Caenorhabditis elegans: one gene and its partners. The protein of the gene in region 3 purifies or fractionates together with the protein of the main gene of each other region. This does not show direct contact. Each region holds a gene or a part of one and is shown on either strand. Other genes may lie near its edges.

Region 1 (9,336 bases), on a different chromosome or scaffold from region 3:
ATAAAATTTCTTTATAGAGAAACAACTTTTATTGTGTGAAATTTCGCGTTAAAATTTTTAAAGATGAGGGAAGCGTTGTTAAGAAAGTTGGAAAATGTCGAGAAAGAAGCAGAAAAATAAAAAAAATTATTGTAAGTTTTGCTTTGTTTCAGGTTCCTGTGGCTCTTCGCAATGCAAAAGCTAAGGAATTCGCCGACAAAAACCACGGATTCTACATGAATCAATTTGGAAACGCTGAAAAAGCTGAAGAATTCCATGAAAGTGGAGACTTTTATTTTGAGTCCACAAATGTCTATCATGAAATTATTGTTCAACTCAAAAAGGACAAAGAGCAAATTGTCAAAATCCCTGACTACTTTGTTCATTCAGCAGGAACCGGTGGAACTATTTCGTCAGTTGGCAGATATGTCGCTAGATATGGAGCACCTACAAAAGTCGTACTCTCCGATTCTCAATACTCTTTATTCTACGATTATGTAATTGGACATAAATTCACAAATCAATCTGGTGCAGGTATTTGGACACCTCCAGGGATTGCTGGAATTGGTTACGGATATGATATTGAACCAGTGTGGTACGGAGAAACAACAAGTTTAACAAGAAATGTAATCCATGAAGCCATGAAAATGCCTGATATTGCATCAGTAGCTACAATGAGAATTCTCGATGAAAAAGGTTATAATGTGGGACCGTCAACATCACTCAACTTCCTTGTTTCTCTTTACAAAGCCTATCAGAACAAGTAAGTAATTCAAACTGACATCATTGCAAACTAATCCGTCTAGAGTATTTATTCGTTGTCTTTTGACGACTTAAGCGTTTACTAGTACATTTAAATTTTTGCGTTAAAAAATATGTTTTAATAGTTTAGTTTACGCAAGCGTATCAATATACCTTGCGTATACCTTGGCTATCAAATCTTGATGAACACAATTTTCAGAGCCAGAAAATCTGCTATCAAGCATCGTCTTACGATTGTTACACTGGCTTGTGACCCAGGAGATTTCTACCGTAGTACGTACCTTAACAACGAATGGGTCGAGAAAAGTTTCAAGAAGTTTGGAGGTGTTATGGGAATGGAATGTTGGAAAAAGCTGATTCAAGAATCAATTGATACGGGTTCTGATTTCTATTCGAAAGGTCTCACTATGTGTCCAGGAGCTTTTAAAGTTTAACTGTTTTGCATTTCTGTGTTTTTGTGTCTCTCCGTATTGTACAGGTTCGTAATTGATCAATTTTAAATTAGATTGTTTTTTTCGAAAATAGAACTCATAGTTCCAGTGATTAAGTCTATTCCCGTGCATGAGTTTTGTGCTTGCTTTGATCTGTATTCAAGTTTAATTGAATAAACTATTTATTATTTAATTATCTGAAAACGCAAAAGTTATAATATTTGCACATAAGGCAAATATGAAAATATACACAACAAAAATTGACCAGTCGACGCCGCGAACAACAGGTTGATCAAGAAAACCATATTGAAAATCAATTGAATCTTTTTTGCGACCATCCGGTGTGTAGATGATTCCTGAAAACAGAAATTGTGATTTTTCAAAGTTCTAAAAACTGACCTGTCAATGATCTTTTCGAACAAATGAACATTTTCTTGCAAACTTCACAATATGTTGGACATTGCACAATATGTGTTGAATTATTGTCAAGAAAAGCCAACCCATCGTAAAGAGGACAGCTGACAACTTTATTTCCGATCGAAAATTGAAATATTTCAGTTTTGTTGCAAACTTCGTTCTGAAATGCGGACTTTACTTACATGGCGAAAATTTTAACTCACTTGAATACGGTACATTCTAGTTGTCTTGGAAACAAATTTAGGAATATCTCCCGTTCTCATTAAGGAAGTCAATATGTTAACTTCATTCGGATCTTTCTCGAATAGTTTGATTGCTATCTGAGTGCAAATTACATTAGTATGCAAAAATGTTTTACAATAGATAATTTGCAATGAAAAATGCTGCCGACAATTGTAATTGTTTTTTGAAGTTTTAGCAATGAAAACGCCCGCCCGCCTTGTGTCCAGTTTCAATCACCTTACAAAACTTACTTTTAGCGATTCCACATATTCTATTTGAAAACTAAAACAACACAACACGAAAAGATAGTTTTTAATATACATCTTTATTTGAAATAATGTTCCATAAACTTTCAAGTTGTGCAATATTATTCCACGTTTTGAATGTTTCGTTTAAAATAATAAATTCCACGCGAAATTGCTAGAACGTTGTTTGAGATCGTATTCTTCTGAACCGGTTCGTGTTTTCAATTTCAGACATAATCTCCTCAAATCTAGTTCGAATGAGGTCCGTCTCGAGGCGTTTCCTTTTACGGTCAGCTTCCTGAAAATTGTAGAAATTTCAAATGTTAGGTACAGTAGGGTAATTAAAAACTACGTTCCCACGAGTTAGATGCTCAGCCAATGCTCGGTGAATTGGCTCCTACTCAAAAACCCTATTAACTTTCAAAAACCGCTCTTCCATAGAAGTTTTACGAAAATTTATTTATCTATCTACTGATATAATCAAAATTAAAATTGAACGTCTCACACTAGAGTGTACATAGCTCACCGTGTGTCAGTTAACCAATAAAGACAAAAATATTGCAGGAAACTCACCAAAATGCTCATTTGCTCTCTGACTAATTCCACTGACTTTTTCTCATCTTCTGTAGGACCATCCCATCGATTCGGGTTAGATATTAATCCATTCATTACTGCTTCATATTTTCGATTTTTCCTCCTTTCTTTTGCATATACTTTCCCTTCGAAAATGTGTAAAATTTTCATAAAGTAATTGGGTATAACTCCAATGATTGGAATTTTTGATAGAAAAAAGCAAAAAGTTTTGAGAATGTAAAAGAGCAACGAGAGTGGTGCAGGAATCCATAATTTTTCTTCATACCTGGAAATAATGTGTCTTGCTTTTTTTCTTCCTCAGTTGAACTCACTCAATCAACCGACTATACAGTTTATATTTCCAGTAAATATGTGAAACTTTGTCAATATCTTCATACTTTTTCCTGGAAATTTCAACTTTTATCATTGGGTTTTCTATTCTTGGAGTTTTCCATTACGCCCTGATAACATACGATAAGAGTGCGGTAACCAAATTCACAAGGAGTACACTTGAGACCAACATGTAACAGAATAAGAATACAGGTATCATACTTGTCTGGAAATTATATTTTCATGAAAGTTTTGGATCTTAAGAAAATTGCGTACTTTGAACCAGCATTGTACCGAAGAATCAGTAATGACGTCCCAGTTCAGAGGTGCTGACGAGCATTTACTGACAGTCCCTAAATAAGACTTTTGATTAGAAGCGTGCTATCAATTATACAACAGACTCAAAAGTTACTACAAATCTTTGAGGTATTCCTGTATTGCGCCTACTTTCAAAATAAAAGTGAACATTTTTTCATTTGCTAACTGCAAATGCAGAGGTTGTAGGGACGTACGCTGGAGGACAAACCTGGACGTTTTTTGGAGCTGATTGAAACCAACGCAGAACATAGTGATGTGACTTATATTTTTAAACGTTTCAATTTTTGAAATCCATAAAAAATATATTCCTTCAATCTTCCAAAAATGAAAACTAACCTAGTTTATCCTCCTCATCAGCTTCTCCAAAAATTTCAAATGCACCACTACTGAAAATCAGCCAAGGCCAAACGACATCGGTTATATTTGGAGTACTCTTCAAATGCCCCGCCAAACTGATATGACAAACTGCATAGGTGAACCAAAATACCATAAACACAAACATAAATTTGACCATTATTGGAATCTGTAATCTGATATTTGATAAGTCAATCAGACAGTTTTATGTTACCATTTTCTTGATCATAAGGACAATTGAACCAAAAAATGCATCGACATTTGCAATTTTCATGAGTCGGAGAGTTGCAAAAACGAAAGAAAAATAAAAGAATAAGTCGGCAGAAATGATTGCAAAAGCTCGAATAGGCCATGTTGGAGGAGCAATTACAGCTACAGACCAGGCTATCATTGTCATTGCAACCAAATAGTTACGGTAAAGATCAGCTGTATTTCGTTCAGCCCAATTATAGAAACCCTGAATGTGTCTTAATGCTGACTTCATGATATAATATTCGCAATTCTTACTCTTTGATAAACCAATACAGCCATTTCAGTTAGATATGCACACTGCCAAACTATAATAGCCATTTCATCCAAAAACTCGTCTAATTCATTCATAACCATTGTTTTTCGTGTCATTGTCATCAAAACGTATGCATAGAATATCACGTATATTAACCGAAAAAGAGTGTGAATAACATATTTTGCATTTGGAGATGTATAGAAATTGTAGACTCGAATAAGAAAATTACTGAAATTAATTGAAACATTGCGTATAACTGTGATGACAGTTAACTAGCGACAGTGGGAAAACATTTAAAACTACATGGTGCTTAAATGACTAAAGTGACTATTCTCGCACCATAAGAGTAGTTTTAAACTTTTCCTCACTGGAACTTTCAAACCTATAAGTAATAGAAGTCATATTCCCAGAATGATCCATTTTCAACATCATTGTTTTGATTTCTCGTTTCTTGATTCTCTGCTTTCCGCGTAAGAAAAACAACGGCGGAAAAAAGAAAAATAAGAAGAATGCCATCTGAAACCGTCACAATTTTACGAGGAATAATTATATTATGAATACAGTTAATATGTATATTTGTTTTGAAAATATAATTTTGGTTTTATTCTTATTGCACAAATTTATTAAAAAATTGATTCCCTCCATTTTTTTTAAAGAAAAATTGACCATAGTTCTCGTAGTTCAGAAATGTTCCATTATTAAAAGATCTATAAGATTCATATCATGTTACATTTCTCCACCCTCATCTAATTTCCATTTATTCTCTGATTCCTTTTAGTTCACAAACATCCTGCTTTGCTCATAAAACTCACTTGTCCTAATTTGAAACCAGGCTGCCATCGAAAGTCAATTTCTCGTTGGCATGCTGGATGAGATAGGAAGTTCTGCAATTCGAGTCATAAATCACTTCTAATCCCACTCAAATAACAAACTTTTGCCTTCGCCGCCGACGCTAATGCCATCACTTCCATATCCTCTTCAACTGAAGGGCATCCATCTGTATGGATAAATAAATGATAATTTGTATCCAATACAGCTCTAGTGTCTCGTTCACTTGTATGAAAACATTGATCTAGAAGTGCAGTGCATTCATCGTCAAACGAACTGAAATTTTAAGAAAATTACGACGAATTCACACTTGATACATCGGAGTCTGGGATAGAGAAGTTTGAATTTAATTTGTAATGAACAATTTTTAATTTCTAAATAAAAGAAAATTTGACTTCAAACTTTGATCAATGTCTAATTCAAATAAATCAGTCCTTCTCAACTATTTTAGAATTTCAATTTAAGATCCAAATTTTAGGTTTCCTTTCACAAAAACAGTTGACTCACTTTTGAATCTTTTCAAATGCTTCGGCAATGACCGGCTCGTGTTGTCCCGAAAACAATTTCCTCATTTTTTCACTGACGTACACCTGCAATAATGGCTTCTGTTGTTCCTGATTTCTTTTAGTTAAAATTTTAAGTTTAAATAAAGAAAAAAAACAACTTCGAATCTCATCGAAATATTCAAAAGTGCAAAACATTACTTGAAAGATCTAAATACCAGGTTTCATGGCCTCCGGAAACATATGTATAAAAAATAGTTAATTCTTTTTTTGTAGTTGATTAGTTTTATTTATTTTATGTAGAAACCGTAATAAAATTAGAGTAACGAGATAAAAGAATAATAGAAAATTTGCAATTAACAGTCCCGTTCAAAACCTTACACTGTGAAGAAATCATAATATTTCTATTGTCAGAATCTGTACATTTTTGTTTTTTTATTTCTTCTAAATATTTCCAAACATACCACTAGTAACCCAGCAAAAATCGGATACTCGCATTTAGCCCAAATCTCGTGAAGATCGCTCCTGAGCTACACTTTAGTTGCTTTTTCAACCGCCAAAATCCCTGAAATCTTAACATACCTTTTGAAGAAGGAAGACGCGATTAAGTGCAACATGTTTGTGTCTTTAACTTGCGATAGATGACATTTAAGAATAGGTTGCATCGTGTTGTTGATGAATTCAAAGATTGATCCACCGACCGTTGCAAACTTTGGATTACGTTCAATGACATCATATGTTATGAACAGCTTCTCCTTTAAAGTTTATATTAATGTTCAATAGTTTATTTATTAATGCTGGATAATTTCTAGAATATATCCTGAAACGAATTAGGGAAGCAGTTAAAATTCTAATTATTTATATTTTGACAAAACATCATAGAAACCGTTATCAATGTTTAAAACTTCTAATATCTACATAATAGTTTTGTTTATATAATATAGTATATAATATAGTTTTGGATCCATTAAAATCGCTATTTTTATCAAATCCTATCATTATTTTTTCAAACTTTCGAAAAAAATTTCTTACTTCTTGTTCCATTTCGTTCAGCTTATTAATAATTTCCCTTGACGACATATCTACGGAAGTGCATCGTGACGGTTGTATCTAAAAATGTTTTAATTCTTTTGCGTAATTGAGCAGAATCATTATGTACATACTTTCAAATTCTTATCCGACTTACCCAATATTTATCATCCTCAATAGAAAAATTTCTTGTTCTAAATTTGATAGTTTTCCGACGACCGGATGGAACGTCGAGGTTCATCTTGAACTGTGCTACTTTCTGACGCAGGTAGTACGTTGATATAGCGAAAGAAAAAGACAGAAAGTAAAAATGTTATCAAATTGAATGAGGCTTATCAGTGGCAATTGTTTGCTCCACCATTCTCCCAATTTCGGAAGACGCAGGAGACAGTTGAAACATTAGAGGAGTGGGGGCGGAAAAGAAACAGAAGTTTGAAAGTTCAATAATCATCAATTAGAGTCTAGCTACTTGGAAATATTTACTATTTTTGATATAGGCAGGCCGGAGCCTGCTATGCAACTTTTCTTTCAATTAGAAAACACCTGATTTATAAAGCTTTTAATATTTCCAGTTCTCTAAAACAGTCCCCATTCCCGAAGGGCTCGCGGGCCCACAGGCCCGTTAGTCCGGCAAATTGGTCAATCGGCAAATCGTCAAACCGGTAAATTGCCGGAATTGTAAATTTCCGGCAAATCGGAAAACCGGTGAATTGCCGGCAAACTGGCAAATTGACGAATTTTCCGGAAAAGTGGTAAATCGGCAAATTGCAGGAGTCGAAGTTTCCAGCAAATAGGTAAGTTACCGAAATTGAAATTTCCGGCAAATCGGCAAACCGGCAAATTGCCAGAGTTGAAAATTTCCGGCAAATCGGCGACCTTGAAAAATTCATTCAAAATTTATACCATTTATTTCTATAAATAGGTTCAACATTTGATCACAAATGTGACAGCATGTTTGAACGTCAAACTAGTAAAACTCGTTGATTTTCTCATAAGTTACGCAATTTAATAATGCATAAGATAAAAAATGTTTAAGATTGAAACAAAATTTAAATTTATTTTTTTCAAATTTAAAAAGAATGGATGCATCAGACGACTGTGAAGTTGAGATCAGGTCAAACTGGATTGAAAGATATATCGTGGCAAACTAATAAAGACCAGAAACTGTTGGACAGGGAAATAGAGGAAGGATAGGCAATTTCACTATTATCACTTTGTATTGTCATATTATGCAATTAAAAATTTGGATTATTATCAAGAAAGAGAAAGATTGGAAACGGCAACGACAGAGAAGAGAAAACAAAGAGAGGAGAGAACAATTCAAATATTTTCAGATAGAAAAGAAAAGGTTAGGGTCCGGTGAGCTGCCAACGATATTGACCTGATCAGAGGCCTCCGCGCAGTCTAATAATGCAGCGCACGAGACCCGATGATGAGAAAATATGATGAATAAGTTATCAATTATCGTCCTGATTGCAGCAGAATGTTTTGAGATATGCAAATGAACATCGCTTCTCACAACATTCTGTCGCAATTCCGCCTCGCTTTTGTTGGTGGTGAATGTGAAAAAGATCGCGAGTTGTTGGTGCATAGGATTGGTCGGCGGAACCTGAATAATACATTTTGATTGTAGTTTTGATTGGAGAATAAATACTGAGGAGTTTCAAAATATATTATATTGATTGAACACACAGAGGTTTACTTGTGCCTACAGGCCTACAGGCGTTTGTATATTTTTTGTAATATGGATCTGAGTTGTAATCTATTCAAAATATGAGGTGTGGCTGTGTGGAGCTCAATCCATACTTCTGCTGAACGAGTCATGTGTGGTTTCGGTTTTTTTATTGTCTGATCATTTCAATCCGTATCAAATTTGTTTTTTTTTTCTCACAAAAATCAAGTAATTGATAGTCTATCAGTGTTTTTAATAGTTTCATAATCATTTCAAAAACTTATTCATTGTCCCTAACTTATAAATACTTGATTTATTTTTGTCTCTTGCTTCTATTTTGGAATATATATGCACTTTATTCGATTTCAAGCTAATTCAGTGACTAAATTAGTGAATTATAATTATACGTCATTTAATGATTTTCAACTTCAGAACCTATTTCAAACTTTAAAAGTGACAACATCCATTTGGTTTTTTGTCTACGTATTCTCAACACTCATGACTTACAATATAAAAAATCTAACATTAAAATTGTCTTGTGGTTATAATTATCTCTCTTTTTCTAGACAACTATCAAATGACAAGCTTGACGTAGTTAATTACCATCAATCAAAACTCAAAATCTATCAAACAGTAGGTATCTCAAAAGTGCATTAATATGGACTTCAACATTGGTATCTTTGAAGAAAAAGCTTTTTTGAGCATCGTGAATGTTTCATAAGGTTTTCCACCCCCGGAGACCCCATCGAGAATTACTAACGTTTGAAAGCGGTTAATCCAGTGCACAGCTGATTCCGGCATACTGCTAAAAGGGTTGTTGTGAGACGTGATCCACATAGTCGAATCGATGCGTCTGAAGGCGTCGGCGACGAGAGGAGAAGGATCGCGAGAAAGCCAAAGAAGAACGAGGGTCTGGAAAAATTATTCGAATTAAGATGCAGGGTAAAAGATGAATAATGTCTGGACTTTTTCGACGTCAAGATTCAAAATAAGCTCACCTGTAAACTTGACGAAACCAGTACATTGCGTACTGTCGTAGCGTGTGGCCCGTTGTTGAGAGCGGTGAGGAACTGAAAAATGCCCTATAAATATATATTTCCGAGTACTAAAAACGAAAACGAAGATGTGTCAAAGAAGACGAAGTTAGCGGGCTCAAATTACACTGTAT
Region 2 (6,111 bases), on a different chromosome or scaffold from region 3:
ATGAAAATCTTGAAAAGAAACACGTGAAAGTCTCAATTTAGAAACTTATCTGTTCAATTAATTTATTCTAACTTTTGTTCTGCGACCTTGTGTATTCGGTGAGTTTTCTCTTCGGCTCTTTTTTGGGGAAGCTTTGCCGGCATGTTGGCATAAAGACCTTCAAGGACTCCTGATTCTCAGGAATCTGGTGAAAACGTCCGGTTTTTCATGCTTAATGCAGATTGTTTTCTATCTGTAATTATGCAAGTTATTTTTTCAGAAAGAAACATGGCAGAAAATAGTGAAACACTTCTACAACTTGCCCATCTCGGTTACAGCATGCTCGCTCCAATGGTGTTCACCGGATACGTCATTGACAATGTGGAGGAAAGAAGAAGACTGGTGGATCATCGGGTGGTGGTGGAGCTAAAACTGGAGGAGGAGGAGGAGATGGTGCAACCAGTGCAAAGAGTGATAAGAAAGAAAAATCATCGAGTGCTCCAAACCCAGAGGGACCAAAGGCTCCAAGTGATAAGAATGCTGTCGCAGGGACACATGATCCAAATTATCAAACTCTTGCTGGAGTTGATGGAAATGTGTTCCAAGAGAAAGGAAAAGCTTCTCCTGTTGCTGCTGCTGGTGGAGCTTCTCCTGCTGCTGGTGCTCCAAAACCTGGAGGTCCTGGAATGGCTGGTGAGTAAATATTTCATTGGATATTCAGATTCAACTACGTACTAACAAACTAATCATATTCAGCCACCCACGACCCCAACTACCAAACACTTGCTGGAATTGGAAACGATTGTTTCGACAAGAAAGAAGGTGCAAAACCAGCTGGTGGTGGTGCGGCTCCAGGTGCTCCAAAAGCCGGTGGTCCTGGAATGGCTGGTTTGTTTTTGTAGTTCACACAATCAAAGTTCAAATTTAACTTTCAGCTACTCATGATCCGAACTATCAGACACTGGCTGGAATTGGAAGCGATTGCTTCCAGAAGAAGTGATTTGTGTCAACTCGTGCAAAATCGGTACAATAACGAAATTATGTGACAAATCAGCCTTTCATCTCGTCCTTCAAATAAAATTTTTCAGTTGAAATGTTTTGCTTTTTAGTTTTTTTTTCAATTTTCCAATCAATATTTTCATGGTGGATGGACTTTTCTGTTTAACAAAACGCCCTTATATGGTTCGGAGTCAGCACTAAACTTTCAGGGAGAAATTTTCAGTCGTTTCAATAGTTTAAACTGGGGGAACTGGAAGATGGACAGAATATCAAAGATTCTTAATTTCTGCATAGAAGCCGCAATAGGCAAGTTCCGAAAACGTTAGTATTCCTTAAAATGTTATTTAAAAATTGTCGAATCTTTCATTTTTTCAAACATTTTCATACACAAAAGCATAGTTTATCATTTACCAATTTACCAAACCAATAGGTGCTGTATTTCCGTACCCAACTAGTTTACTTGGAAAATGTATATCTTGGTTTATTTTAGAGATATCAATAAATGATCAACTACAAAATTATATAAAAAGATTTTGAAAATAAGTTTCAGTTGACAATTTTTGTATAGAACAAACGACAACTAAGATATAAGCTGTCAAAGTTGAACAATTGGGTGCAATACTTATAGGAGAAATACGGTAAATAAACTTTATTTATCAGGCTGCTTTTAGACAATTTATTTAATGTCCACCATAGCATCAGTTTCATTCATTGATCCAAATATTCAAATTTGAGCAAATTGAGTTCATGACTCTTCCCAAATTGTGTACCATTCCGTCACCACACCACAATAATCCGTCACCAGATACACCACCTTACCTGATCGTAAATCGTAATCTAAAAGGCGGCAACGCCACCTAATCCATTATTTCTATTAAAACAAAAAAAACAGCAGATGACCCCTTCTAATGACGTCATTGTTCTGAAAGATATCGGAGGCGGTTCGATCGTATTGTTGTTGTTGCGCAATGCAGCGTTCTGGTGAGTCTCTCCGCGCGTCTTGGATATACATGTCATTTGTGGTCACTCTTTATCGTGCACATTAGCGCATATGCACCGTGTGCAGACACATTTCGAATAGGTGACCCCTGTCTTTCTTTGGTCATTTCTATTTATTTTATAATATTTTGTTTGGCTCTTTTTCTTTTTTGAATCCTTTAGTTCTCTGTTGATCCCTTCTTTCTTTTTTTAATAGCAAAAACTTTAACTTCTAAAATGCTATTCTGGTAAATCAGTTCAATTCGCGCGCCTATTTTGTGCCTACATGCCTACCTTCTCCCACTTGTTAACACTTTTTGCTTGTTTGTTTTTCCAATTCTATAAACCTTTGAGGCAGGCACATGTGCCTGAAGGTGTGGCTGCCTACAATAGAAGAATTAGGTGCATCTATAGGCAAGCTGGGAGTATACTGTATCTAATTATATTTTTTTGTAGCTGTTCAACAAACTTTATATTCTAGACTTAAATACTTTTTTGACCTACCTCCACAAACTCGGCGGGATTTTTATCCAATTTATAGTTTTCATTCCTCAATCTTACTTCTTCTTTTCCCATTTTTTAGTCATTCCATCATTGGTTTTTGAAAGTTTTCTGGAATCTAACTCAACTTTCCTTTCGTTTCACTTTCAATTTATCGATTTTCAGATGCGTCTTCTGATTCTTCTCCTAATTTGCTCTGCATTCTCCACATGCTCAGTGCTCGACTCATTCCGTGCCAATGGAATCGAGTTTGAAGTTTACGGTGAAGGACGTCTGATTCCGGAGAAGCAACACTGTGTACCGTATACCTTGGATCTCAATGAGTTTGTCAACTCGTTCAACACGAACAATATGAATGAGTACAGTCGAGGGCTTCTTCAAAAGCGGATTTTCACGAGTTTCGACGCAATTTGCCGCAAATTCAATATCCAAACCGAGAACGAGCAACCAGAATACAATCTGACAGAGGATAGATCTCAAATGAGATATTTGGATTATTTCGACTACAATTGGAATAGTCTTCGATTCGAACGAGATCTCAAATCTCTATTTTTGGAGAATAAAATCAATAATCCATTCCTGGATTCAGTCACTGAAGAAACCATCAAAAGAGCCGGAGCCAACGATGTTCTAGACTTTGCTCAAAAGACAACGGTATTCCCGAAGACTTGCAACGTGAAACAGATGACTGTTCAGACGATGATTTGCTTCAATATTTCAGATATTCCACAATCTGGAACTATTTATGCGGTAAGTCCTTTGAGTGAATTTAAAGAAAAAAAAAAAATATAATTTCAGTTGGCCCATGGAGGAGAGTTCTTGCACAATGAGGAGGTCTATGCCTATTATGATATTCCACAATTCGTCCTGATCACTCAACAAGCTGTAATCCCAATTGAGCTTGAAAAATGCAAAGTTTTGGTTAGTATTACTGAATACTCTTTCAAATTAAATGTTTCAATTTTCAGTTCGGCACGTACATTTACTGCTTCGAAGAATTTGACACCCAATGCGACGTTCGTACTCTCTCGGATTGCCCAATTTACGCCTACAAGACCGAAGATGAGTTTGTCTTCCGCAGAAGCTTCGGAATCGGATATATTTACGCTACGACCGAGTCTGATGTTGATTTGTATCAAAATGGCACAAAATCAACCGTTCCTGGACGTGTCTTCGTGCTCCGAACTAGTTTTGGAACTCCAACCACTGAAAACGGATCACCAGTTATGATGCCCGATATGACACCTCATCACGAGCCGGAGAAGAGCCAATTCGCCGAATTGCTGCCAGAATCGCAGAAGATTCTGAAGTCCGACACTCCGACACGATTGTATACCACTCAACGACGTGGTGTGAACATGCTAAGCCATAAGCATTACGATCAAGGAGCCTGGGATGCCGTTCGAGACTTTTTCGGATTTTAATTGACTTTTAATTTTAATATTTTTTTCACCACGAGTACCAATTTCCATCAGGGATCCAATCCTTTTTTTCAAATTTCAATTTCCAATATGAATCTTTTAATAAAACAAGTTTGACAATTTGACACTTTATGCGTTAAAAAAAAGCAATTTATTTGAATTTCAGAGTAGCCGGAAGTTTTTTTGGGAAGTCAATAAAATGAGTATCAGATACATAGACAGAAAGTGTGTACCGAGTGGTGAATTAAAGAAAAGCTACAGAACAGAGAGCGAGATGAGTGAACAGAAGAAAGAAAAATAACACGTTGGGATGGAATTGACTAAAAAGATGAACAGGAGATGATGAGGAATTAAAGACGACTACAGTATGCACAACATGGGGATTTCAGGTGGAACAGAGCAAAAAAGAAACAAAATGAAAATGGTGAAAGATGAGTGAAGAAATGGTATAGTTCATATGTACACGCATTTCTATATACAGACGTTTGTAATGGGGACAAATACAGCCAACACTGCAAACCAAACTCGAAAACTTCTACTGGGCAAGAAAATGGGAATATTTTTTGCAGAAGGCATTCATGGTTTGGCAGTTGATGAGGAAGTCGGCGAGCACACGATTTGTTGTAAGGATTGCATATTATGGGCAGTTAACGAGGAAAGTATGGTTGAATCGACTGGTTCAAGGCACGAAGGACATGTGAATGACTTCATAAGCCATTCGTCGACGCATTCTTGATGAAACGAGTGCATGCAAGGAAGGAATCGGATTCTCTCTCCTGGCTCAAAGTCGATCATACAGATGGCACATCTGAAAATGGTTTTTTTAAAAATTTAACTAGAGCGCATTAATACTGATTATACAGGCGCGAAATTTTGCGCCAAAGTGCGATACACGGTCTCGACACGACAATTTTTTGTTTAATGCGAAAAGGTGTGAGCCTTTATAGAATACTGTATTTTCAAACTCTCCTTGCAGCGGAAATTTCATCATTTTTTAAGTTTCGTGAAAATGTATGTGATTTTTTAATCACATATATTTGAGTTTTCAAAAAAGAATTAAAAATCTATGAAATTTCCGTATATATCTATAGTTTAAAATTACAGTAATCTTTAAAGGCGCACACTCTTCCACAGTACACAAAAATTTTGTCGTGCCGAGACCGGGAACCATATTTTGTGAGTGAAATTTTGCGTCTGGGTGATAATAATTTTTTCAACACCTCTGCTGTAGCTCGAACAATAATTGATATTGGTCAGATTGTAGTTTGAATAATTTAGTTAATTTTTCATTTAGATCCGAATTTCAAAACTTACTCATTACTGGTCATATCTCCTCGAAATACATCAGCAGGGATTTGCTCGAGAAGTCCTCGAATTCGGTTTTTTTTTGCTTCGTCGAGTTCCTGAGAATTTTTTAAAATTTAATTAAAATTATTCTGCTCTAAACGCTCACTTTTCCCTGTTCCTGTGCTTGTCGTTGTCTAATTACGTTGTGTTGATAGAGCTGATTTACGTACGAACTCTGAAAATTTCAGTTTAATTAAATTCAGATTCTTCAATAATTTCTTACGCTTTGTTGCATCATTGACGGATTTGTGAAGCTCATCGCTGCGTCTGATGATCGGCTCCTGCAAAAATAGTTTATTGAACTTGTTCTATACTTCAAGCATACAATCTAATTGTATTTAAATTTTTAAAAAATCGACGTGTTTTGGTTAATACAACTTCCGTTTTCATTTTTGTGGTATATCACATCAGTTTAGCTTCATCGACATCTCACAGTATACTAGTGAATGACAAAGTAAATTACCGTCGTAGTGGCGTCTCATCGTGCTGTCTGACGAACCCGAACAACGACGGCAAGCAGTTTCCCATTGTCGATCGAAAATCAAGCTGAAAAAAAAGTCGAATATATGAAGATGTGACAAAATGAGGACATCGGAGTATTTCTCAGACGACTAAAGATGAGAATTTTCTACATGACTTTTCCGGATGGGTCTCGCCACGCGGGCAACAAGTTACTGTAATTCGTGTCAAAATACAGTTTGCCATAGCGTTATATTTCTCTAATTTAATTTAAAAAATTCTGACTCATGATTAAAAAATGTATATTGTACAATTTCGGCCCGTAAATTGACACGAGCTACAGTAACCCACTGCTCGCGCCGCAAGACCTTTTAGACGTCTAATTAATAGTAAGATAATGTTCAAACGTCCATGCATGGAAAACCAG
Region 3 (7,554 bases):
TGTAGAGGATTTAGTTTCAAATCGAGACAGAAAAATAAGTGAGTAATAAAAAACACACTTTTGTCATCATCATCATAATATTGTTCAGGTCAACTAGAAAACTCATTGCGAAACACATTCCGGGGAAGAAATGTAAACCCATATATTGCAGGTGTTCGCTCCAGATACATTATTCCACGTGGCAAGGAGCACATTTTCAAAAATAGTTTCGGGTAAAAAAATGTTTTAATTCAATTCAGTTTTTGAAAAATTCAGAACAATGGTGTATGTTGGTACACAGCAAAAGTTCTATCCCGGAACCATGTCAATTGTACACAATTTACAAACTATGCCCGAGTTTTGTTCAAATCCCTCATCTGTCGTGATGAATAAGTATTTTGCACCAACATTTCCGGTGGACTGGTGTAATGTTGCGGTAGTAAGAACAAAATAATTAAATTTGTCAACATTCTAAAATGTTTAAATATTAATTCAGAGAAATATTTCATCTCTTGAAGGAGAAGGTATTGATGAATTGATAAAGGATGAACAAGAAGAGAAACTGACAAAAGCGAATCCAGATCAGGTAACTTTTAAACAAAACTCTACATGTTTTGAGAAATGCACAGCTTTGAAGCGACCGTAACTTAGTTTTCATTTGATTATTAGTTTATTCAACATTTTACACTGAAGAATAGCTTAACAAACCAATTGAACGGCTCGAATAAAGTAGTAGCGAGATGGAAATGGACGGATTAGCAAAGTTTGACAGTTAAGCATAAAATATGCATTTGGCCTTGAAATTTTACATAGCCACAATAATCGCGTGCGGTTATCGGGGTGAGCTGGCAAATAGCAAACGAAAGTATTGCGGCAAGTAACCATAACCTGAAAGAAGCGGACCGGGCATGTGATTAATGTTTTCTTCAAATTTTAGAATTTAATTTCAGAAATTTTCAAAAAAAAATTTCAGAAAAAATGTCTTTACATTTCAGAATTTGAACGAAAAACCTGAACAACCCCCACGTGAACTATATGGATACTCAGAACATGGTTTTAGCATCGTCTTATTTGCCATAATTCTTGGTGTTTCAATTCTTTTTGTTTTTGCACTCGTGCTCATTTTTTTTGGGTCAAGAGAAGGGCAGAAATGGAGAGACGACAAAACGTCTGGGTATATTTTACATTTTAACTTCAGTTATTGTACATGTTTGTACATAGCTAATTTACAGTGAAACATTGGGCGAATTCATTAGCATTCGTGACAATCAGAAGAAGCTCCGCGAACTATCACTTCAAAGGCAACTTCTGAGCATGGGACCAGACACGAACTCCACTGCGCCTTCTGGAATTCATTCTTATTTACAATCAAGAAGTAGAGCTCCAAGCACTAGTATTGCGAGATTTAGCAAAAGTGCGAGTAGACTTAATGATAAAGGTACTTTGGTTTTTAATATTATCTTTGATTAATTATGTTTGTTCAGAGGATACAATTGAGCTTCTCCCTTCAGTTGATCATGTCCCGGTTGGAAAACAAACTGTTGCAGAAGCGGCAAAACAGTGTGGAAGTTCTTTGCATTTGTACAGAAACCCTCTGAGTAATGAAAGTGATGAACAGGATACGGAGAGTTCTGATGAAGACAACTAGACTATTAAATTACATTTATAAGTATTCAATAAACGATCTCAATAATCAAACACCGGGATATTTGTGAATTTTGCTGTACAAGCAGTTGCTGTACAGGCTGTTGTGGCGCCTTCAAATTCGTAAAACATGATGAGATTTTCCCCTTTGTGAAGGAATTCCGATGGAATATAAAGAGTTTGCTGAAAATTAACTTTTGAAAAATATATTAAAAACAGTAAATTGGGCACCTGTGGTCCAATAGAAGCCCAATATCGTCCAATGTTGTACTGATTGATAGTCACAACGCCTTTTCCCCAACCTCTTGTGTCTAGAAAAGTGTCAGCTGGAGCTGTTTTGATTATTAAATTTCCAATGAACACCGACGGTTGCTCTATTGCTGCCGATTGAGATTTCTGTAAATAAAATAATATATGACGCACGTTTTTGAAGTAGCTGATACTTCAAAGTCAATTGTTTCGAAAACATGTTGCTTCAGACTCTCGTAATTTTTCACCAAACTAATTTCGTATGTTTCAATTGGAACTTCACAGCTCTCCCAATTCTCGAGAGTTATGTTACGCATGTAGACATTTCCTTGAATTCCCTGGAAGAAACTTCTCAATTGAAAACGTACACGTTGGGGCCTTACTCTTGACATAACAGGGTAGTTGTTATGGTCTCTACCAGTTATTTCAATTATGATTTCCAATGAGTTGAACTGGTCCAAACATCCTTGAACATCTATGGTGTTATTGTGAATTGAGCCAAATTGTTTGTAAAGGGCACCCTGAACAAAATAATTATGCTATCAATTTTGATAGTCATGACATAAATATTCAAGCAATGAATTCTCCTGAACTTCTTCTACAATGCTAAAATTAGCTATAAAAGTTTGGCACGTTTTTAATTTTGGAATTTCAAAATACCTTTTTCCATAACGGTAATTTTTTCAGTACCTTCAAATGTTTAGATTCAAATAAGCCAGGTTTAAATTTACAACTGTGCTCTAAATTCTTCACTTTTCAAAAATTCTATACAAATATAAAAGTTTACCACAAAGTTTTGATTCAAGAAAATATACGCATTGTCAGCAAAAGTTGGAATATACAGGGATCCGCACTCAATAATGGTCTGGAAAAACCAACACTATACGAAATTTAAAAATCTCAAAACCAACAGTATTATAATAAATGTATCCATATCCTTGACGAATATATTCAGCCGTTCTAGGCGTTTCTGGGCTGCTCCAGCATTCGGGATTTGCGCCAATTATGAAACCAGAAATTGTGTCAAATACTGTGAGTTGGACGTCAGGATACGCAGTCCGTGGTAAGTTAGCTGGAATTGGAGTCGGCGGATTCTGCCAGCCAGGAATGTTGCTGATCCAATTTCTAATGGAAATATACAGTGGATTAACATCACCAGCTTCAGAAATAGGAGCAAATGAGTCATATGACGTGGTGACAGGGTAAGGATCGACGGCTCCGTTCCAATATCCGAAATTTGTGCCGCCGTGAGTCATATGAAAGCTTAAACTAGCATTCAATGCAAATGCGGCTGAAAAATAATTATAATTTTAAAGTTATTTGCAAATTTACTTTTTGCCGTTTGAATAATAAGATTATTTGGGTAAGGATCAGAAACATTTTTGCCCCATAGTTTGAATGGATTGATAAGAAACTGCGAAGCAACTGCCGGCGCACCTGAACTATTTATTGTTTCAATTATTCACAAATTTGTTCACAAACCTTGCATGAATGCTTTTTGCATACTGAACCAACTTTCAATTTCCCCGGCATTTGCATTTGGCACAATTTCGATAGTTGGTAGAATATTTGGAAGTGTTCCACATCTCATAAATTGAAGAACTGGTGGATTGACAGTGAAAAGAACAACATCATTTCCTAAATTCTCCTTCGCCATATTTGCAAGCTGTAGAAGATATTGCTGATCACAAATGCCGAGCGCACCGTAAAAATGCTCAATTTGAACCATGAGAACGGGCCCGGCGTTTTTTCTCATGAGCGGGTAGATTTTTGGAAGTAGATGTTTCCACCATTGAGTTACTTCCGTCATAAATCTGTTTGTTGTATACTGTGTAAAAAGCAAGGAAAAATGCTGAGAAAAACTTACGATGGGTCACTGCTCCGGTACTTTCCAATTTTCGTATTCCTGATGAGCCACCAAGGAAGGCCGCCGTTATCCCATTCAGCAGAAATGTACGGCCCTATAGTTTATTATATTCAACCGCTAAACCTTAATCTTCAAAATATTCCCTCAGTTCAAAGAAACTTTTGAAATTTAGTAAATTTTTTAGTAAAAAAAGTAAAAGTAAAAAAAAAGTAATTAGTAAAAAATTAGACTTTGAAGAACTCTAGCTGTCTCGCGTGGTCAAAGCCCTAAAATATTTGTAAAAAAACATGCATAATCAAAATATAAAACCCAACGGTGATGTTTAACGTTTCTCCCATAATACATATTTTACTATTACCAATTCTGAGAATCGTATACAATCCATTTGATTCAGCAGCTTTTATGAATTTGACCAAATCCAAATTTCCAGAAAGGATAGGAGTTTCATCTTGATAAAATTGATGAAGATTCCAAGGAACTGGTACGGTGATTGCATTAAATCCTAACGCTCGCACTCGCTTCAGACGGTCATCCCATTTTTGATGCGGAATTCGGAAATAGTGTATTTCTCCAGCAATGTAGGTGAAAGGATCTCCATCAAGTAAAAATTGACTATTCACAGTGTCAATCTTGAATGATGGAGATGAATCTGTTCTAAACTATAAATATTTCAACTAATCAATGAAAAAACGAAATCATACCCGAAAACAGTGGCAAATACTGAACAAACAAGAAATAGAGCCAATTCTCGCCTCATGACTGCCGATGAATTTCGAATTAAATTACTTGCCTATCAGCTTTTTCGCATTTAGTTTTTATCAACTTTATGACCAGGCAACCTTCTATCAGCCATCATAAATGTAGAACAATGTAGAACAAAAAATCAAGCTAGATATGAATATACATGTACTGGTAATGAAAACATATTTATTCATTATATTTGCAGAAATATTATATCACATGACAATTTTACCATTATGCATAAAAACAAAATTAATATCTCCAGGCTTGTCTCCCACGGAAAAATCTCTCTCCTCTCGGAAGAATGGGTCTTCCAAAACTATTTCCATAACCATTACCTCCGGCCATACGATTGAAACCAAAATTATTTCCATAACCGTTTCGGTTTCCGTACCCATACCCATTGTTTGGGTATGGTGACTTAGTTGGCTCAACTGCTGCTCCAACACTCCCTTTAATACCGTCATCTACATTAGTGTTTCCACCATTGAATGAACTGGGACCGTTGTTATACCCATTCAAGTTCGGAAAGTTTCCATTTGGGTGAGGACCATTATTATATCCACTTGGGCCATTGGCTAAAAATATAAAATTACTATTAAAAGTTAAGTTGACATAAAACCTTCGTTTGGCATCCAAGGGGTCTGACCATCTTCTTTATTCTGATTTTCAGTCTCTTCTGCTGGCTTTGAATTTTTATTCCCCACACTTCCCTTGATACTATTGTCTGGAGGAGGTTGCTGAGGACCACTGTAGCCTAAACCGGAAACTTGAAAAAGGTCTTTTGTTTTTTTTTTCAAATTGAGTTGAGTTTTATATTTTTATGTACCTACCATTGGAGTTTGGTCCATTCCAATTGCCCATTGGGAAATTTCCTCCTTCTCCAGCTCCGCCTCCTTCACCGCCATTATTCCACATTCCATATCCATTTTGGCGTTTCAGCCGATCATGTGTAGCTTTAAAATCTGTGAAAATAATATTATAAAATATTATAATAATGCAATTTCAGAGATTTACAGAATCATTAAAACCATAACATTCGCGTTTCTGGCTATTTGTTATTTTTTACATTTCTATGAAAATACATACTTTGTGCTTCACTGCTCTTTTGTGTTTTCGGTGGCTCTTCTTGCCTCACAGAATATACAAATTGAATCAGAAGGAATAGAGTTCCAAGTGTCATGAATTTCATTTTGAATAAATGTTTGCGTTTCTGAAACTTTTAAATGATTGGAATTTAGAAATAAAAAAAAACAATACTTTTCAAAAAGTGTTAAGCATCAACGACTGGTCAAATCTCCACCACTGTTATCCTATTTATTCTATTTCTCCCCAAATTTGCAATTCAAAAAACCTGAGCCAGATGGCAATGGTTCTTTCTGTTTTATTTTCCATCCCCACCCGTTTCCTATGCATTCCTTTTGCTCAGAATCATCGATGCTCTCTGACTTTTCATCTATATTTGCCCGTATGTAAATTATCTATCTATTTTTATTGCCATTTATTCGCATAACAAAATAATGATTATTGAATATTTATAACCTATATTTGTCTAGCTGACAACAAGTATGCACCAAAAAATATTCAACATGTCCTCGAAAAGTAGAAAGTTTATGAGTGTACACACGGAAAACAAAAAACAAGTTCGTTTTCACAAAATCGCAACAATATAAAATAGAATGTAACAGAGACATAAGAAAAAAGAAGTACGAGAAAGAGGAGATAATCATTTTGAGCATTTCAACTTCTCCGTCACATTCGGCAACTAAAAATACTCGAGGATTTCACTTGAGGCGGTTTGTAGCCGTTTCCTTATTACGTATGCAAATCTGCGAGCAAACGCTGAGCAATACGAATGCTTTTTCCGTCAGTATTCATTAAAATAAACCGCACCTTCTGTTGATTTCTGTGTTTTGAAGTGAAGTTCGTAATATTTTTCACTTCAAACATGTTCAAGTATGTTCAGATTTGCGACATTTCGAGATTGAACTTTTTTGTTTGAAAAAATCATTAGCATAAAGTTTTTCAATTTTTGAGAATAATTGAAATAATCAAATTAATAAACATTAGTTAAAAAATGCCACTGCCGAATTTTCATGACGATCTGTAAAATATCAGAGATGGCTGAAACTTTTTGATTTCCACCAATTCGGAACATTTATTTGAAACGTTACACATTTTTTCCTTTTCCGACAAGAATGCCAAGAAATCCTGAATCGAGCTCATTCGCTGGATGAGCAATGTAGATGACCAAATCGAAAAATGATGATGAACCTTCGTGCTTATTTTTGCAACCTTTGCACATCTCCAAGGCATTTTTATGGTTACGCTTGAATGATATTTCGAAAAATATTCGAACATTCATTAACAAAGTTTTTTTTTTCGAAAAAATTACAGCACCAAACTTTTAAACTTAGAAGTACAGAAGATTAACGTTTCCGCCTGATTACTCAATATTGCACCCTTTCATGAATTTTATTCCATCTCTGAAATTTTCGTCCAAATTGAACGTAAATGTTTTTCCCTTTTCACTTCGAATGCGTTTTGCACATTCTCTACTGCGACATGTTTTATTCTGAATGCCTCCATAAAACATCCCTATTTATGAAATTTTTGTTCAGGGAGATCTTTTGGAGTCCGTTTTGTCTTTTATAGTTCCGTGTACAACATTTGGAGTTGATGATCATTAAAAGTGAAAATGGACAATAATCATTTTAAATCCATAAAATGAATGTCAACATAAAAAACACCTAGGATCATATCAAACAAAATTTTCTATTTGAAATTATATTTGTCATGAAAAAACTCCATGAAGCTTTCCATTTCTTATTTCTTTTTAATGAGACTTTAAAAGTTCATCTGAATGTTTCAGTTTACATTTAAAATTTCCGAGGTTTTCTTTTTTGAAAACTTAGATTTTCCCCCCGAAAGTGTTTTAAATTTGGAAGTGTAATTATAATTTGATTTGTTTTTGAAACAAATGTGTATAACCTTTTGAATAAAATAGGAATATATTTAATTTGGTTCATAATTATAGCGAATGATTTGAAATTTGTTAGGAAAATTTGAATGGC

The links.
Region 1: the proteins of bgal-2 (region 3) and F13B12.3 fractionate together in Caenorhabditis elegans (co-fractionation; one large-scale study listed by BioGRID). This does not show direct contact.
Region 2: the proteins of bgal-2 (region 3) and C01G6.3 fractionate together in Caenorhabditis elegans (co-fractionation; one large-scale study listed by BioGRID). This does not show direct contact.

The regions. Positions count from the first base shown.
Region 1 is NC_003282.8:10,436,610-10,445,945, reverse strand, and holds F13B12.3 (Ion transport domain-containing protein), read right to left. Parts: upstream 6,824-9,336; 5' UTR 6,738-6,823; coding exon 6,654-6,737; intron 6,578-6,653; coding exon 6,500-6,577; intron 6,223-6,499; coding exon 6,050-6,222; intron 5,998-6,049; exon of another isoform or gene 5,993-5,997; coding exon 5,932-5,992; intron 5,555-5,931; coding exon 5,472-5,554; intron 5,241-5,471; coding exon 5,069-5,240; intron 5,021-5,068; coding exon 4,949-5,020; intron 4,653-4,948; coding exon 4,519-4,652; intron 4,365-4,518; coding exon 4,139-4,364; intron 4,089-4,138; coding exon 3,846-4,088; intron 3,801-3,845; coding exon 3,614-3,800; intron 3,313-3,613; coding exon 3,236-3,312; intron 3,186-3,235; coding exon 3,103-3,185; intron 3,034-3,102; coding exon 2,962-3,033; intron 2,916-2,961; coding exon 2,630-2,915; intron 2,355-2,629; coding exon 2,232-2,354; 3' UTR 2,116-2,231; downstream 1-2,115. Other genes in the region: Putative pyridoxal-phosphate dependent protein F13B12.4, read left to right, coding at 153-742, 941-1,175; F13B12.7 (Neprosin domain-containing protein), read right to left, coding at 1,362-1,528, 1,572-1,749, 1,793-1,852; ins-1 (Insulin-like peptide INSL5), read right to left, coding at 7,954-8,105, 8,929-9,080, 9,167-9,192.
Region 2 is NC_003280.10:9,267,272-9,273,382, forward strand, and holds C01G6.3 (Lipoprotein), read left to right. Parts: upstream 1-2,616; 5' UTR 2,617-2,622; coding exon 2,623-3,207; intron 3,208-3,255; coding exon 3,256-3,378; intron 3,379-3,425; coding exon 3,426-3,881; 3' UTR 3,882-3,996; downstream 3,997-6,111. Other genes in the region: C01G6.2 (uncharacterized protein), read left to right, coding at 268-672, 736-867, 915-1,025; C01G6.4 (RING-type domain-containing protein), read right to left, coding at 4,455-4,686, 5,193-5,281, 5,332-5,400, 5,449-5,506, 5,689-5,753.
Region 3 is NC_003284.9:6,781,376-6,788,929, reverse strand, and holds bgal-2 (Glycoside hydrolase 35 catalytic domain-containing protein), read right to left. Parts: upstream 4,520-7,554; 5' UTR 4,497-4,519; coding exon 4,441-4,496; intron 4,394-4,440; coding exon 4,098-4,393; intron 3,834-4,097; coding exon 3,740-3,833; intron 3,687-3,739; coding exon 3,355-3,686; intron 3,310-3,354; coding exon 3,205-3,309; intron 3,164-3,204; coding exon 2,784-3,163; intron 2,738-2,783; coding exon 2,660-2,737; intron 2,394-2,659; coding exon 2,256-2,393; intron 2,211-2,255; coding exon 2,067-2,210; intron 2,020-2,066; coding exon 1,855-2,019; intron 1,807-1,854; coding exon 1,666-1,806; 3' UTR 1,628-1,665; downstream 1-1,627. Other genes in the region: sgca-1 (Dystroglycan-type cadherin-like domain-containing protein), read left to right, coding at 1-38, 89-212, 256-418, 476-565, 975-1,153, 1,212-1,417, 1,464-1,627; idpp-6 (Prion-like-(Q/N-rich)-domain-bearing protein), read right to left, coding at 4,733-5,058, 5,103-5,237, 5,314-5,445, 5,570-5,672.